Linked DNA regions of Saccharomyces cerevisiae S288C. The gene in region 2 interacts genetically with the main gene of each other region. Each region holds a gene or a part of one and is shown on either strand. Other genes may lie near its edges. The genes, in order: YHP1, YBL036C and YLR159W.

The links.
Region 1: mutations in YBL036C (region 2) and YHP1 together harm fitness less than expected from each alone (positive genetic interaction), as found in Saccharomyces cerevisiae (one large-scale study listed by BioGRID).
Region 3: mutations in YBL036C (region 2) and YLR159W together harm fitness more than expected from each alone (negative genetic interaction), as found in Saccharomyces cerevisiae (one large-scale study listed by BioGRID).

What each region holds. Positions count from the first base shown.
Region 1 is NC_001136.10:1,359,355-1,365,101, forward strand, and holds YHP1 (Yhp1p), read right to left. Parts: upstream 2,828-5,747; coding exon 1,766-2,827; downstream 1-1,765. Other genes in the region: 40S ribosomal protein uS13 RPS18A, read left to right, coding at 569-615, 1,051-1,444; PPN1 (endopolyphosphatase), read left to right, coding at 3,524-5,548; thioredoxin peroxidase TSA2, read right to left, coding at 5,718-5,747.
Region 2 is NC_001134.8:148,286-153,589, forward strand, and holds YBL036C (pyridoxal phosphate homeostasis protein), read right to left. Parts: upstream 2,936-5,304; coding exon 2,162-2,935; downstream 1-2,161. Other genes in the region: APL3 (Apl3p), read left to right, coding at 1-2,001; DNA-directed DNA polymerase alpha subunit POL12, read right to left, coding at 3,208-5,304. UniProt on the Saccharomyces cerevisiae protein: Pyridoxal 5'-phosphate (PLP)-binding protein, which may be involved in intracellular homeostatic regulation of pyridoxal 5'-phosphate (PLP), the active form of vitamin B6.
Region 3 is NC_001144.5:481,888-487,062, forward strand, and holds YLR159W (uncharacterized protein), read left to right. Parts: upstream 1-3,457; coding exon 3,458-3,802; downstream 3,803-5,175. Other genes in the region: YLR157W-E (uncharacterized protein), read left to right, coding at 1-150; YLR157C-C (uncharacterized protein), read right to left, coding at 172-303; asparaginase ASP3-3, read right to left, coding at 662-1,750; YLR159C-A (uncharacterized protein), read right to left, coding at 3,824-3,955; asparaginase ASP3-4, read right to left, coding at 4,314-5,175.

The DNA.
Region 1 (5,747 bases), on a different chromosome or scaffold from region 2:
TGTGGTTATAATTTGTCACTTGTGCAGTCAATACCTTAAATTAACTTTTACAAAGTATTTTTTTTAAACGGCCCATGAGCATAAATTGAGAACGATATTATTAATTCTAGTATATTTTAGGAACAGCAGGCCATTATATCCAAAACTTTTTTAAAATAGCATCCACATCACTTACTGGCGTACAGTTTCGTGTCTGGCAACAAAAAAGTACATTTAATTTCAATGATTAAAAAGACATTAAACATCCGTACATTACGCACCCATGCATGCTATCTGAAAATATTCTACATGCTGCTTTTAGAAATTTGAAGCGGCATATGGTGTTTCCTTGCGGAGACGCGCGCTCAGGGGAACTGCGATTCCGAAAGATGCCTTTCCCAGTCCCATATGCCCATCCCAAGATCATGCCCGGGAGAGCAAATGTCGCCCCAGCCAGGTCGGACACATCTGTCATTCGACCACTAAGTATTGTCAAAGCTAGGGTTAATTGAAGATAGCTCTACATGTTATTAGTAGAGTTTTTAAACGTTGAGATACTAGTGAACGTATACACAAGAGCGGATAAAAGATGTCTTTAGTTGTCCAAGAACAAGGTTCCTTCCAACACATTTTACGGTATGTTTATTATTACTAGTGAGCTATGACAAAATCGGCTAAAAACTTAAAAATATGACAGACAAGAAAGGAAATTCATTCACCTCTTTAATCGTGGCGATTATTCGCTAACGACGTGATTAAATATAATAATGATGTTCCCGGGCTGGACTAAGAACGTAATAATAAGGCTGATGAACAAATTTATGGTTTATGCATCAAAAAGGAACATGAATTTGGCATAAGCGCACATAATTACGGAACATTGCAATAGCGGTCGGAGGTAAAGTACCGGGAATGCTTTACAATGAATCAGCTATTGGCGGATATTGACCAACCAACACTAAAATTTTATATCCTGCTCCGATTTTTGTCTTGGCCGTGAAATCCATTATGCACATTTTTTACTAACGTTTATCAATAAGTTCGGTTTCCCGTCTAAATTTTTTTACGCAGTTTGTTGAACACTAACGTTGACGGTAACATTAAGATCGTTTACGCTTTGACCACTATCAAGGGTGTTGGTCGTCGTTACTCCAACTTGGTCTGTAAGAAGGCTGATGTTGATTTACACAAGAGAGCTGGTGAATTGACCCAAGAAGAATTGGAAAGAATTGTTCAAATTATGCAAAACCCAACTCACTACAAAATCCCAGCTTGGTTCTTGAACCGTCAAAATGACATCACTGATGGTAAGGACTACCACACTTTGGCTAACAACGTCGAATCCAAATTGAGAGATGACTTGGAAAGATTAAAGAAAATCAGAGCTCATCGTGGTATCAGACACTTCTGGGGTTTGCGTGTTAGAGGTCAACACACCAAGACCACTGGTAGAAGAAGAGCTTAAACTGATAAGATTATTCAAGCTTAATCTTTTTTGTACGAGTACATATATTTCCATAGCACTTCCTAATTGACTTTTTTTTAAAATAAATAAAGAAAAGAAAATTAATTTTGTGACCATAATTTCAACTTGCCTTTTTTTTGTACAGGGTTTCAGGGATAAATGGACCCTTGAAAGAATATAATATTACATCTCTATATAGATTTATGAAACAGGCCGCTTTAAATCTAAAAAAAAACGTTGGTGTAGTCTCAGTCATTACTTTGTGTAGTTTTTGTTAATATTGATAGCATCAGTGCTCAAGAAAATAAACACTGAGAAAGATTAGTTTTTGAAAGAATTGAGATCGACCTCCCCAAGGGGTTTTCTTTCGTATGCATTGAACTTTAGGCGGTTTTCCTTGCCTTTAGGACTTTTGATAATCTCGCTATGACCGGTATTTGATAATGTTCTCTTAACAAGCACAGATTTCCTGTGGAACTTGAGCTGTCCGCCGGGCTTGCAAGGCGTTATGTGGTGGTCTTCGAAGATCGAGGACGTATTGGCAGGTGAAGTTTTCAGCAACTCTGCAGTAATAGCCTCCTTCGTACTCGTTGGCGTAGAGGTAATTTCCAACGCAGCGTCTGAGTAAGATATCATAGACATCGAATCATTAGAGTGAACTTTGCAATGGCTGGTGTTGCCACTGTTCTTGTGCTTTTTAGCAGCCTGCCTTTTGTTCTGAAACCATATTTGAACCGATTTTTCGGACATATTACATTGCTCGGATAACTCTATCCTTTTAGCCTTATTGGGCGTGGGACATTCGTCAAATGCTGTTTGCAATATCCCAAGCTCATATGATGAAGTTCTTCTTCTTTTCCGACGAGCTAACCGAGCATTGTCTATCTTAGGCTCCTTCTTTGGAAAAGTTTCCTGTGAGTGTGTAATAAAGGCAAATGACCTTTTCTTTTCTTTTCTTGTGGTTGGTGTGAGAACAGCCTTTGCAGCAGATAGAGGAGTAAGAATATTAACTTTTTTATAAGAGTGCATACTCTGAGGTGGCTGCTCTTTAGAACAGACTCTGACCGTTGGCGTGAATGGTGAATGAGAGCTCAGCTTCTTGGGCTTGGATAAAGGCGTCATGGAAGTGGTTACACGTTGTGATAAGAAATCCACAGCCTGTGGACTTTTCCTTTTTGGCCTTTCCTCATCGCAAGGACTTTTATAAATATTTACCACTGGTCTCACAATGTGCGCAGATGCAGCTAATGGTGGCAACCTGATGTCACCTTGGTCATCACTAGGGAAGTTTGTATTTGGCAAAGTATGCAGTTGGAAAGGCGAATTAGAAGTACCTGTAATAATGTTTGGTAAAGAAGGAAGCACGGTATTTCTGCTTTCCATGTTATATATATACGATATTTTGTGTTATTGTTATTTCCCTACAAATGCTAGTTACACTGGCTGGCGAGGGTAAAGAAGAAGATAATACGAATTATAATCTACGTTGGCAAGATCGGGAGGACGCCATATATATATTTATAAACATTCATCTGTGTGATCCAGATCAAACAAATAAACAATGAGTAAACGAAAAATCTGGCTGAAATGTCTCATGCTATTAACCCAATTCAGCATTGATATTAAAAATACCGACGTATCCCTGCACGGAAAGCGCGTCTGATGTTTACCATTCCGGGTTTTTGGCGCGCGTCATGTCCAAATTAGGACGTGGTTTATAGCCGAAAGAGGAAATGTGATCTGCCCACCTGTGCGGCCCTTCTCTGAGCGTTTCGAGCAGGATGCATAATATGCTCCCTTCGTACGGTAGAGGACAAATATGACCATTACCCGACTATTGAGGACATATGTCGTTATTAGAATTTAGCACCTTTAAAGTTATATTGCACTTTTAATTACCAAGATTCATTTGAGAGTGTAAAGGGTTTTATGGTAGAATACAAGTCAGAAGAAGGCTAAAATCAACAGATCAATATTTTTTTTGGTTGTTGGGTTGGAGAATTATAAAGTTTTTTTGATCTCCTTGTCTCCAGCTATTGTTTTCATTGAGTAGGGGTAGAGCTAGTTAGCTGCTTTTCGATGGTTGTAGTGGGTAAGAGTGAAGTGCGCAATGTAAGCATGAGTAGGCCGAAGAAGAAATCATTGATTGCCATCCTGTCGACCTGTGTTTTGTTTTTCCTCGTGTTTATAATTGGTGCTAAATTTCAATATGTTTCCGTTTTCTCCAAATTCTTAGATGACAGGGGGGACAACGAGTCACTTCAATTGCTCAATGACATAGAATTTACAAGGCTAGGACTGACACCTAGGGAGCCAGTAATTATCAAAGACGTAAAGACAGGGAAGGAGAGAAAATTACATGGACGGTTCCTTCATATTACCGATATTCATCCTGACCCTTATTATGTGGAAGGAAGCTCTATTGATGCAGTTTGTCACACAGGAAAACCAAGCAAAAAAAAGGATGTGGCACCCAAGTTTGGGAAGGCAATGTCTGGATGTGATTCTCCCGTTATTTTAATGGAAGAAACTCTGAGATGGATTAAAGAAAATCTTAGAGATAAGATTGATTTTGTCATTTGGACGGGTGATAATATCAGACATGACAATGACCGGAAACATCCAAGAACAGAAGCACAAATTTTTGATATGAACAATATCGTTGCTGATAAAATGACAGAATTATTTAGTGCTGGCAATGAAGAAGATCCAAGAGATTTTGATGTGTCTGTCATTCCAAGTCTTGGAAACAATGATGTCTTTCCACATAACATGTTTGCACTAGGACCAACTCTACAAACTAGAGAATATTATAGGATTTGGAAAAATTTTGTTCCGCAGCAGCAGCAAAGAACTTTTGATAGGAGTGCTTCATTTTTGACTGAAGTTATTCCAGGGAAGCTTGCTGTCCTGTCAATTAACACGCTGTACTTATTCAAGGCCAATCCGTTAGTTGACAATTGTAATTCAAAAAAAGAACCAGGTTACCAACTTTTACTTTGGTTCGGTTATGTATTAGAAGAACTAAGGAGTAGGGGAATGAAAGTATGGTTAAGTGGACATGTACCTCCAATCGCAAAAAATTTCGATCAGTCGTGCTACGATAAGTTCACGCTATGGACTCACGAATACAGGGATATAATCATTGGAGGATTATACGGTCACATGAATATTGACCACTTCATCCCAACGGATGGTAAAAAAGCTAGAAAATCGTTATTGAAAGCCATGGAGCAATCCACTCGTGTTCAACAAGGAGAAGACAGTAATGAAGAGGACGAAGAAACTGAATTGAATAGAATTCTGGATCACGCTATGGCGGCAAAAGAAGTTTTTTTAATGGGAGCGAAACCATCTAACAAAGAAGCATATATGAACACCGTCCGCGACACATACTATCGGAAAGTGTGGAATAAGCTGGAAAGAGTGGATGAAAAAAATGTTGAAAATGAGAAGAAAAAGAAAGAAAAGAAGGACAAAAAAAAGAAAAAGCCAATCACTAGAAAAGAGCTCATTGAACGCTATTCCATTGTGAACATAGGTGGTTCAGTCATTCCAACTTTCAATCCTTCCTTTAGGATCTGGGAATATAACATCACCGACATAGTGAATGACTCCAATTTTGCAGTTTCGGAGTATAAGCCCTGGGATGAATTTTTCGAGTCACTAAATAAGATTATGGAAGACTCTTTGCTAGAAGATGAAATGGACAGCAGTAATATCGAGGTTGGGATCAACCGCGAGAAGATGGGCGAAAAGAAAAACAAGAAGAAAAAGAAAAATGACAAGACTATGCCAATTGAGATGCCAGACAAATACGAACTCGGCCCTGCATATGTACCGCAGTTATTCACTCCGACGCGTTTCGTCCAATTCTACGCCGACTTGGAAAAAATCAATCAAGAATTACATAATTCATTTGTTGAATCTAAGGATATTTTCAGGTATGAGATAGAATATACCTCAGACGAGAAACCATACTCAATGGATTCGTTAACAGTAGGAAGTTATTTGGATCTTGCAGGCAGATTATACGAAAACAAACCTGCATGGGAAAAATACGTCGAATGGTCATTTGCGTCTTCTGGATATAAAGATGATTAAGTTAATATACACATAGAAATGCATATCATTCTTCAATTACAGTTTCTTTTTCTTTTGTTACACTATTCTTTCAAGTCAATTTCATAATAATACAAAACCATCTTTCTTATCATATATAGGGTGATGTATTTTTAATTATTTAATAGGGCCTAGCGTTATCGTGCGAAGATTAATTATTGGCATTTTTGAAATACTCCTT
Region 2 (5,304 bases):
AACACAGTATTGTTTTCATTGATCAATTTCGCCTCTAAGCTAGATCCGTCGGATGAAGCTATCAGCAATTCTGTGACAGCCTTATGTTCCCTGCTAACATCTAAGGAAATTAATATTCGGTATTTAACGCTAGATTCATTGGTCAAATTATGCTCATCAAGCGGGAAACCTGCAATTGATGCCGTTCGTTACAAGAATTTGGATATGATTTTTCATCTTTTGAACACAGAAAGAGATTCATCTATTGTTAGGAAGGTTGTTGACTTGTTATATACCTTTACTGATGTTGAAAACGTTAAGATTATTGTGGACGGTTTACTGCAGTATATTTTATCTCCGAAAAATCTTGCTGAACCGCAAATAAAATCTGATATTGCAGTTAAAATAGCTATTTTGACCGAGAAATATGCCACGGATATCAATTGGTTTGTAATTATTTCGTTGCAGTTGCTATCATTAACTTCAAATACAACTATTAACGATGATGAGATCTGGCAACGACTATGTCAAATTGTAGTGAACAATCCATCTTTACATAGAATAACATGTGAACGGTTGGTGGACTATTTATGTAAAAAGCAAGCATCTGAAGCTATTATTAAAGCTGCGGCTTTTCTACTAGGGGAGTACTCAAGTCTCATAACAGACAGGATTTCAAGCGCAAATTTATTTACTTTGTTTGCCGAGAAATATTTTAGTGCACCAAATGTGGCTAAGGCGATGATATTGACTACGATGATCAAGTTGTACAAGACCTCACCTGAGATCGGCTCCAACGTCATCAAATTTTTCCAATTGGAATTGAACTCTCTTGATATTGAGTTGCAAACAAGATCCTTCGAATATCTCAACATTATTCAACTGGCTAAGGTGAACGGAAATACAGATATTTTGCAAATTTTATTTGAACCAATGCCGCCTTTTAACAGCAAATCTAATCCATTATTGAAGAGATTAGGGTCACTGCCGGCATCAGCGGGTAGCACAACTTTAATAAATACACCATCCGAAGCATCCTCCTCCACGCCTGACTTACTATCAAAAAGAGCAAACTCTTCCAGGTCGATCATGGTTCCCATGCCCCCACCATCTCGTAGGAACACCATTGATGATGTAAATTCCAAAATTAGTTCATCTGAAGACTTTTCAGGAAAGGACTCTTATTATTCAAGGCAGATCCTCGCTCCAAATTGGAGGGAAGGTTTCACAAGAATGATTTCGCATAAGCAGGGTGTGCTTTTCACATCATCTTTGATGAAAGTTTTCTATCGGATAACCACTCCTGATGCACAACAGCCATACGTGTTTCATATATCTCTTGCCTTCATTAACCTGACTGAGTGGGAAATCACGGGATTATCCACACAGATTATCCCTTCAAAAACGCAAGGTAATCCTGAGTATTTAATTATGAATATTAATACACCTTCTACTGCTACTATTGGGCCCCATAAAAGGGCAGAGCAAAGCTATGAAGTTTCAATAAGAAAACCTTTCGACGTTGAAGATAGTCCAATTTTGGCAATTCATTTCAAATGTGGCGGTAGTACAAACACTATCAATTTGAAAACTGCCATAGGCATGACTACAACACTAATTAGCAGCGATGTCAATCCTAGCATGCATTTGAATTTGGCACAGTTCATCAGCCGTTGGAAGACTTTGAGCGATGCTTTGGGAAAAGAGGGAGAATACCAAAAATCTGGCATAAAGCTCAACAAGGATTTTAGAAAAGTTGAAACAATCAGTTTAGAAGACGGACTTCTACTATTGACGCAAACAGTGAAGAGGTTGGGCTTTGATATAGTCGATCAGACCAGTGTTCGTAGTACATTGTTTGTCTCGGGTATTATTCATACGAAAAGTGAGGGAAACTTCGGTTGTTTAATGAAGATACAATACCAGGTAAATGGAACAGTTAATGTTACCTGTAAAACAACGACGGCCGGTCCCCTGGCGAAGTACATTGTCGAATGTATAAAGAATGTGCTTACGAAGTAAAATTTTCTCAAATTCACTATAATGAAAATCATCCGCATTGTACATATATAAACACACACACACATATATATATATATTTGAGATTCTATTTATTTTCATTTTGTGTTGTAATGCTATAAAAAAAAAGATCTTCGTATAAAATCTCAGTTCATTCAACCTACTAAATGATTCTAGCTTCATTTTTTGGAGGTCTAGCACCAAAAATGTCGGTACCAATTCTGACTTCCGCTGTTCCTTGCCTTATAGCCTCCCTGAAATCAGCACTCATCCCCATAGACAATTTCAATGATGTACCAAATTTAGCATCAATCTTCTTCTTCCACTCAACCAGCGTAGCAAAGTCTCTGTTTTCTTTGCTATCTTCATGAGAGACGTTCCATGAACCAATAGTCATTAACCCATTCAACTTAATATACTTGCATTCTTCGGATAAGAAGAAGTCGATGACTTCAAATATTTCTGCTTCATTATTCAAGCCCGATTTTTGATCCTCATGGGAGGTATTAATTTGAACATTACACAATATTGGGTTGCAATCTGGTTGAAATTTAGCCCTCGATTCGTTTAATTTTTTGGCTTTCTTCAAGGAGTCGATTGTTTCAACAGAGTATAAATTTGGCACTTTAGCCAAATCTTTACATTTATTCGTTTGCAAACCGCCAATAAAGTGCCACTTGATATCGTCTGGTAGTAATTTTGCCTTTTCGATCAACTCTTGAACATAGTTTTCCCCGAACTCCCTCACACCATGGTCGTAAAGAATTTGTATATCGCTAGCTGGTTTCAATTTCGAAACAACCAATAATAAAATTTTGGAGGCATTTTCATTAACATGAACATTTTTTGCCTCTGCATTCACAACTTCCCTTACAGATTCGTATTGGGCAATTAATTGTGTCTTTCTATCTTCATCATAAGTAATACCAGTGGACATATTGCAATGTGATGCTGGAATCTTAGTCAAAAAGGAAAGAGTGATGCCTATCAGTTTTTTTTTTTATTATGCATTTAAGAGTAGTCTCTACTTATGAACATTTTCTCTGGCCTCTGATCACGTTACTTTATTACCCGGATACTGATCATGTTATGGTCTTTAATCAATAAGTAAGTTATAGAGCCAGTTTCAAGGTCGATAGTTCAGGTGTATAACAATACTTTTTGGTGCTACCTTGAGCTATTCCATTAGTTAAGTTTGAATTAAATATATCAACTAGCAATCAAGTCAACTCTAGCGCGCTTCCACACGTTGTGTAGATAAACTGGCTCTTCACCTTCAACAAGCGTCAATTTCCCGTCTTCAAGATCAGGGCATTGGACAGTAATTTGTGCATAGGATCCCCTGTTACCTGTTGCTCTAATAAATCTTCCGGGATTTATAACAACTACGTTTTGGACAACTCTTGCAAAGTGTTGTAATTCACTGGGTATAATCATTATGTCAGGCGAGAACCCACCAACAAACTCTGTTAGTCCCAGATAACTCACGTCTAAATCTGCACCAGATATATGTTCATAAACTTTTTCTTCTTTGCTTTCCATATCATTGGTTTCCTTCTTCGTAGATACGTCTTTTGGTTTTATTCTTGTACGAATACTACCTGGAAATATGGGGTAATACCTGCGCTGTTGTAAAATATGCTCAGAAACACGATCTAATCTATATCTTGATGAGGTAGTACCGCCTTTTATGACTTCCTTTAGATCTTTGAATGTATCAACGTTTGAGCAACCGAAGTATATCTCATTTATTTGAAAAGATGAAGGATTAGCCATGCATTTGAAGTTCCTTTTAGGCAGCTGTAAAGCCTTTCTAATTAAAGAAGCTTGTGGATATGCGGCGTGATTAGAAATTGCATCTTTTGTGGAGGGTATCAATACGGTTTGGATATGTGGTGATATGGTTTTTAGAATAGGAGTAAATAACTTCAAAAAAAGCTCGTCCAATGTTTTGGGCTGTGTCTTGAACTGGGGAAAATTTGGCAATTTACCACTCGCTATCAGAGGATGGGTGATATCTATAAATGGGCCAAACATTATCAAGACGTGAGGTTTTACCTCATTATTTATACTATCGATAAATTCTTGCAACAATTCGAGGGAGAAGTTATCATTTGCAAAGTATGGGCCACAGGTCACGATAACCTTCAAAGAAGAACCTTCCAAATTTGCTTGAAACTCCTGCAGTTCCTGCGATGTGGACACTGGGGAGTTTGGATAAGGTAGCGGCAAAATAGAGTTAACGGTGAAGTAATCCCCATTAGCATTTTTACCTTTGAATGCCACAATTTGGCCTAAGAAAAACGAAAGCTCGTTGACCTGCGATAGATCTAACCTTACCCTTCTTCCAACGCCGCCCATTCTTGAGGTCTCTAGGGAAAGCGATTCTGGATTCAAAAACTTGTCGTAGGTCGGCGAATCTGGAACTATCCTTCCAACAGCATAAATTTCGGACTGAGATTGAATAGTTGGATCAGCGAAGTCGTTTGGAGATAACTTATAGTGATTTTGAATAATCTTAGTAAACGATTCAATTTGATCATCGAGGACATCAGACGCTTCCTGTAAGTTTTGCCTCATTGTTCTGAATTTATACTTTTTAGCATCATAAAATGGTTCTACTTTGACCTGGTTATATGATGGTTCTTCAGTCGAAAGAAGGCCTACATTTGGATTACCAGATGATATTTCAATATTTTCAGGGTTCAAAGAATCCAAAATTTCACCAGCAGGAACATTTTGCCTCGATGTGGTAGGAGTGTTTGTTGTTGGAGTTTGGAATGTCGACGAGCCGGGAGTCTTGGCATCCGAGCTTTTAGCGTGGGACAATGGAGCACTGTCACCCACAGCATCTTCTGCCATGCCTGGAGTAAACTCCAATTTTAAAGAACTATTTCCTTTTTCATTTGTTTCTGCCTCAGAGCCTACATTATATGTTTGCTTGGAATCACTGAGTGAAAAGGGACCATGTAACTTTCTTTTTTTTAAAGTCGGAGTCTTTGGAATACTAAGGCCAAACAAGGGACTTGAATTCAAACTTTTTTTAATCACTGGTTTTTTTGTGGATGTGTTTACCTTAGAGGACGATGAAATTTGGTTAGCACGCTTTTCCATTTGTAATTGTAAAAATTGTTTAAACTCATCTATGTTCTTGGAAGTCAGATCTGTGTGAGTTTGACGCCTTTGATTGGAGAACTGCTCCCATTTAATGTATAGATCCTCGACGGACAATGCATGCAGTTTAGTTAAATTCTCTAATGCAGTGATGATTTCCGGCTTGTCTGCATCAGGCCCAAAATGAGTGAT
Region 3 (5,175 bases), on a different chromosome or scaffold from region 2:
TATTCCAACACTTTGAGACATTGTGAGACCCTCCGTTCGCAACCGTGCTCTCTGTTTTCATCACTATATGCACGCTCTTTCCAAAGCTCCTGCACTTTGCACGTGGCGGAGCCATCGCCCGGCTTCCATATGTACGGCTGCCACACCTAACTATTTCGGTTGCGGCCATATCTACCAGAAAGCACCGTTTCCCGTCCGATCAACTGTAGTTAAGCTGGTAAGAGCCTGACCGAGTAGTGTAGTGGGTGACCATACGCGAAACTCAGGTGCTGCAGTTGTTTTTTTTTTCGCGCACGAATACATCACGCAGCCTCGCCTTGACACTGCTCAAGGGATAAGGGGAAGGAGCTGAGATAGAACTGAGTTGGAGCGTTGCAGCGGCACGAGCAGTGAAAAGAGCGAAGAGAAGAGAAGCAGATAAAAGACCAAAGTAGCGATGATACTTCGATGTTTGGAGCGATTTTTCCTATGTGAATATTAGAAATCATATGTTTTGTATCAGCTGAACAGTGAATGATGTGCTCAATACTCAAATTCATCTTTTTGTTTGCTAAAAATAGCTTAACTGGCACATCATGAAAAGGATGTAGAAATTATAGAGTATATTTACTACTAAGAACTATATAAAAACACAGTGTGATGAAAAGTCACTGATCAGGCTTTAACCACCGTAGACGCCAGAAAAAACAGACCTAATCTGATCCATGCCGTAGCCGGAGTACAAACATAATTGTAGCAAAATACGCGATTTTTGAGGGTTTAGGTAGCCAGATCCAATGGCGTACTCTGGGGCATCATCTGGAGGAACTGTACCATCTGCTGTTCTTCTGCTGTGAACAATTGGTATACCATACTCTTCATAAAGTTGTTCGTTTACAATACTACCCGTAGCAGTCCAGGAACCAGCTCCAGAACCCGCCAACACGATACCTTTTGCGCCCAGGTCCTTGACGGCCTTTACTATTAGCTCAGGATTCAAGCCTTGATAGGAGTACAGAATAATGACTTCTGGAATTTCCGAAGGGTCTGTGAGGTTGGAAATGTCAAAAAATTGCCATCCATTTGGCTTGACTGGTGGGTAGTAAAACTCCACGTCATCATTTGAAAAGTAACCTAAATATCCCTGTTCATCCGCTCTGAATGTATCTAAAGAGTTGGCATTCATTTTCGTTGTCCAAAACCCAGAGGCAATACGATCGTTTAGAGTGATCATCGTGCCACGACCCAGTGATTTCTCAGAAGCAGCAATAGACACTGCTTGATATAAATTCATTGGGCCATCAGCAGACGTGGCAGTGGCTGGACGCATAGCGCCTGCGATACATACTGGCTTCTCTGAATTTATGGTCAAATCTAAGAAGAAAGCTGTCTCCTCCATAGTGTCGGTCCCATGAGTGACAACCGCACCAGCGTAGTCATCAGAGGCTAGTGCCTCGGAGATACCGTGATACAATGGGATCAGATGCGTATAGTTTAAAGAATTTGAACCAACGTTAGACACTTGAAGATAGTCCAGATTTGCCTTCTCAGCTAAAGATGGGACGGCTTCTATTAAATCATTTACGGTTAATCCCACGCTATAACCCGCCGTTGTTGCACTTGTCGAACCCTTGGAAGCGATAGTACCGCCGGTACCAAAAATTTTGATTGATGGCAAAGAAGAATTCTTCTCTTCACGAATTTTTAGTAGTGGAGCACCACTGGACATTGCGACAAAGAGAGAAAGTAAAAGGGTATTTAAAGATCTCATAGTTGGAGGTTGGTGAGTACCAGATTGCTTACAAAAGAATAGCGAGCCAACATTTGCTCTGCCTCAGGCCTCTTGGTGCTGCTTGAAGACTCATCTTATATGGCTTTTGTATGTCATGATTTGTTCTTGTACATTATGTGTTGATATTAAACAAATTGATTTTTTTTTTTTTGCGATAGCAAGCAGATAATGAAAGAGACAAGGACTTGGAACATCCGATAAGACTGCGCCGATATCGATCTTACAGTCCTTCCCTTGTGTCATGACTTTCGGAAAAGCATCCTCGTCGACTGGTAGTTTGCTGTCTGTCACGTGCTGAAGGGTCTGATACATTTTTTTAAAGATAAGAGACGGGGTTTACCCTTCGGAGGACTAAGCGAGATCTCCAAGTAAAGATCTCGCTTATCAAGAAAGCAGCCAAGTGTGGAACGTCCTTTTTTTTGGTTTCAAAAAGATATTCAACAGTTTACACTGCAGCTTTAATTGCCTCAAAAGGATATCATGAGGTGATCTAGGGTCAGAAGGGAAAGATTACAGCATCTTGAGTTGAATCACATCTGCAAAAGGTGGTATTATTGACGTTGCTCTTCCTTAATGGAAACTCATGGGGTTTGGAAAGGAGGTGCGGTAATCTATTTTTTTCGAACACAAAACCTAACCTTGAAAAGAAACTGTCCAATTTCATTGAACTTACCTCAGAACGGGCCGGAGTCTTTGCTTTCAGTCTAACATGGTCTAATTTCTTCGAAAAGCTTCATTTAATTGTTAGACTGTGGTTTTACAAGGAAAAAACCAGTGCTATACTGAAGCGATACCCAGAACTAATTACCTTGTGTGACGATTCGGCTCAGCGAAACGGACATGGTAAAATTGGGAATTTGAAAGCAGGCAGCAGCCTTGTACAGCGACATGACGATAGGTTTAGAATCCCCATCACGTACGAGTTGAAGAATTCTACGAAGGCTCTATGCGTTATTCCTCTATCGGTATAAAGTGTAGCGTTGTAGGGGGGATATTGGTGGTTTAGTTGAATTTGCGCAACGAAATTATAGAACTCATAAAAGTTCAATTCAATACTTGAAACCCTTAACGTTGGTTCGACCATCAATTGTTTGGACATAATAGTTTTATTCTGCGGCCGATTTCAAAATTTAGTAAATCAAATGTTGAAGCATCACCAGTAGGATGACCACTCCCATGACAAAACTCCGTCCCAAAGATAGCTTGATCATCCTAAGCGGGTCGCATTTTACTATCCCCAGTTCCGAAGAATAACAAGGCTCAATGCATATGCTGTTTATCGTGCTCACAAGGCGGTATGACGTTTTTAGCAATGTAATTATATTAAAAAGATCTTCAGTCACTATGAGTGGTTGATTGCCCCATAGAGAGCTATAAGCCGACGTGAAAGCTGCTGGTTCCAGCTTGGCTCATGTCGTCACCAGTCACTAGTCACTTGGTCGCATTCATTGCTACTCATCTGCGAGTGAGCATATTTGAGATCTGACTTGCCAAGGGATTAGAATCACGTAAGACTCTTGATCCTTAGAAGATATTTCTGACAAAGAACCACCTAAGCCATGCAAGTTTTTTTTTTCATTTGGTGGCGAAACAAAGGTGATGAAAGTTTCTTCTTGTACAAACGCCAAGCCCGATAGGTGAGACAATTCTTGAAGTAATGGACCTCTGAGTAAGCATATCAGTCGAATGAAGTTCCAATATGCGTTGGCCAAGGAACAGCTAGGCAGCAACTCGCGCAGTGGCGTCAAAAAACTAATAAGTAAACACCACTGGCTTCCGGAATACTATTTCTCTGATCTCTCATTTTCTGTTGTACAGCAGTGGGACAGTAGAGCCATTGAAAAAACTACAATCATATCTTGTATGCGGCCCGCAAACCAAGAGATTTATCCTTTGAGACATTGTGAGACCCTCCGTTCGCAACCGTGCTCTCTGTTTTCATCACTATATGCACGCTCTTTCCAAAGCTCCTGCACTTTGCACGTGGCGGAGCCATCGCCCGGCTTCCATATGTACGGCTGCCACACCTAACTATTTCGGTTGCGGCCATATCTACCAGAAAGCACCGTTTCCCGTCCGATCAACTGTAGTTAAGCTGGTAAGAGCCTGACCGAGTAGTGTAGTGGGTGACCATACGCGAAACTCAGGTGCTGCAGTTGTTTTTTTTTTCGCGCACGAATACATCACGCAGCCTCGCCTTGACACTGCTCAAGGGATAAGGGGAAGGAGCTGAGATAGAACTGAGTTGGAGCGTTGCAGCGGCACGAGCAGTGAAAAGAGCGAAGAGAAGAGAAGCAGATAAAAGACCAAAGTAGCGATGATACTTCGATGTTTGGAGCGATTTTTCCTATGTGAATATTAGAAATCATATGTTTTGTATCAGCTGAACAGTGAATGATGTGCTCAATACTCAAATTCATCTTTTTGTTTGCTAAAAATAGCTTAACTGGCACATCATGAAAAGGATGTAGAAATTATAGAGTATATTTACTACTAAGAACTATATAAAAACACAGTGTGATGAAAAGTCACTGATCAGGCTTTAACCACCGTAGACGCCAGAAAAAACAGACCTAATCTGATCCATGCCGTAGCCGGAGTACAAACATAATTGTAGCAAAATACGCGATTTTTGAGGGTTTAGGTAGCCAGATCCAATGGCGTACTCTGGGGCATCATCTGGAGGAACTGTACCATCTGCTGTTCTTCTGCTGTGAACAATTGGTATACCATACTCTTCATAAAGTTGTTCGTTTACAATACTACCCGTAGCAGTCCAGGAACCAGCTCCAGAACCCGCCAACACGATACCTTTTGCGCCCAGGTCCTTGACGGCCTTTACTATTAGCTCAGGATTCAAGCCTTGATAGGAGTACAGAATAATGACTTCTGGAATTTCCGAAGGGTCTGTGAGGTTGGAAATGTCAAAAAATTGCCATCCATTTGGCTTGACTGGTGGGTAGTAAAACTCCACGTCATCATTTGAAAAGTAACCTAAATATCCCTGTTCATCCGCTCTGAATGTATCTAAAGAGTTGGCATTCATTTTCGTTGTCCAAAACCCAGAGGCAATACGATCGTTTAGAGTGATCATCGTGCCACGACCCAGTGATTTCTCAGAAGCAGCAATAGACACTGCTTGATATAAATTCATTGGGCCATCAGCAGACGTGGCAGTGGCTGGACGCATAGCGCCTGCGATACATACTGGCTTCTCTGAATTTATGGTCAAATCTAAGAAGAAAGCTGTCTCCTCCATAGTGTCGGTCCCATGAGTGACAACCGCACCAGCGTAGTCATCAGAGGCTAGTGCCTCGGAGATACCGTGATACAATGGGATCAGATGCGTATAGTTTAAAGAATTTGAACCAACGTTAGACACTTGAAGATAGTCCAGATTTGCC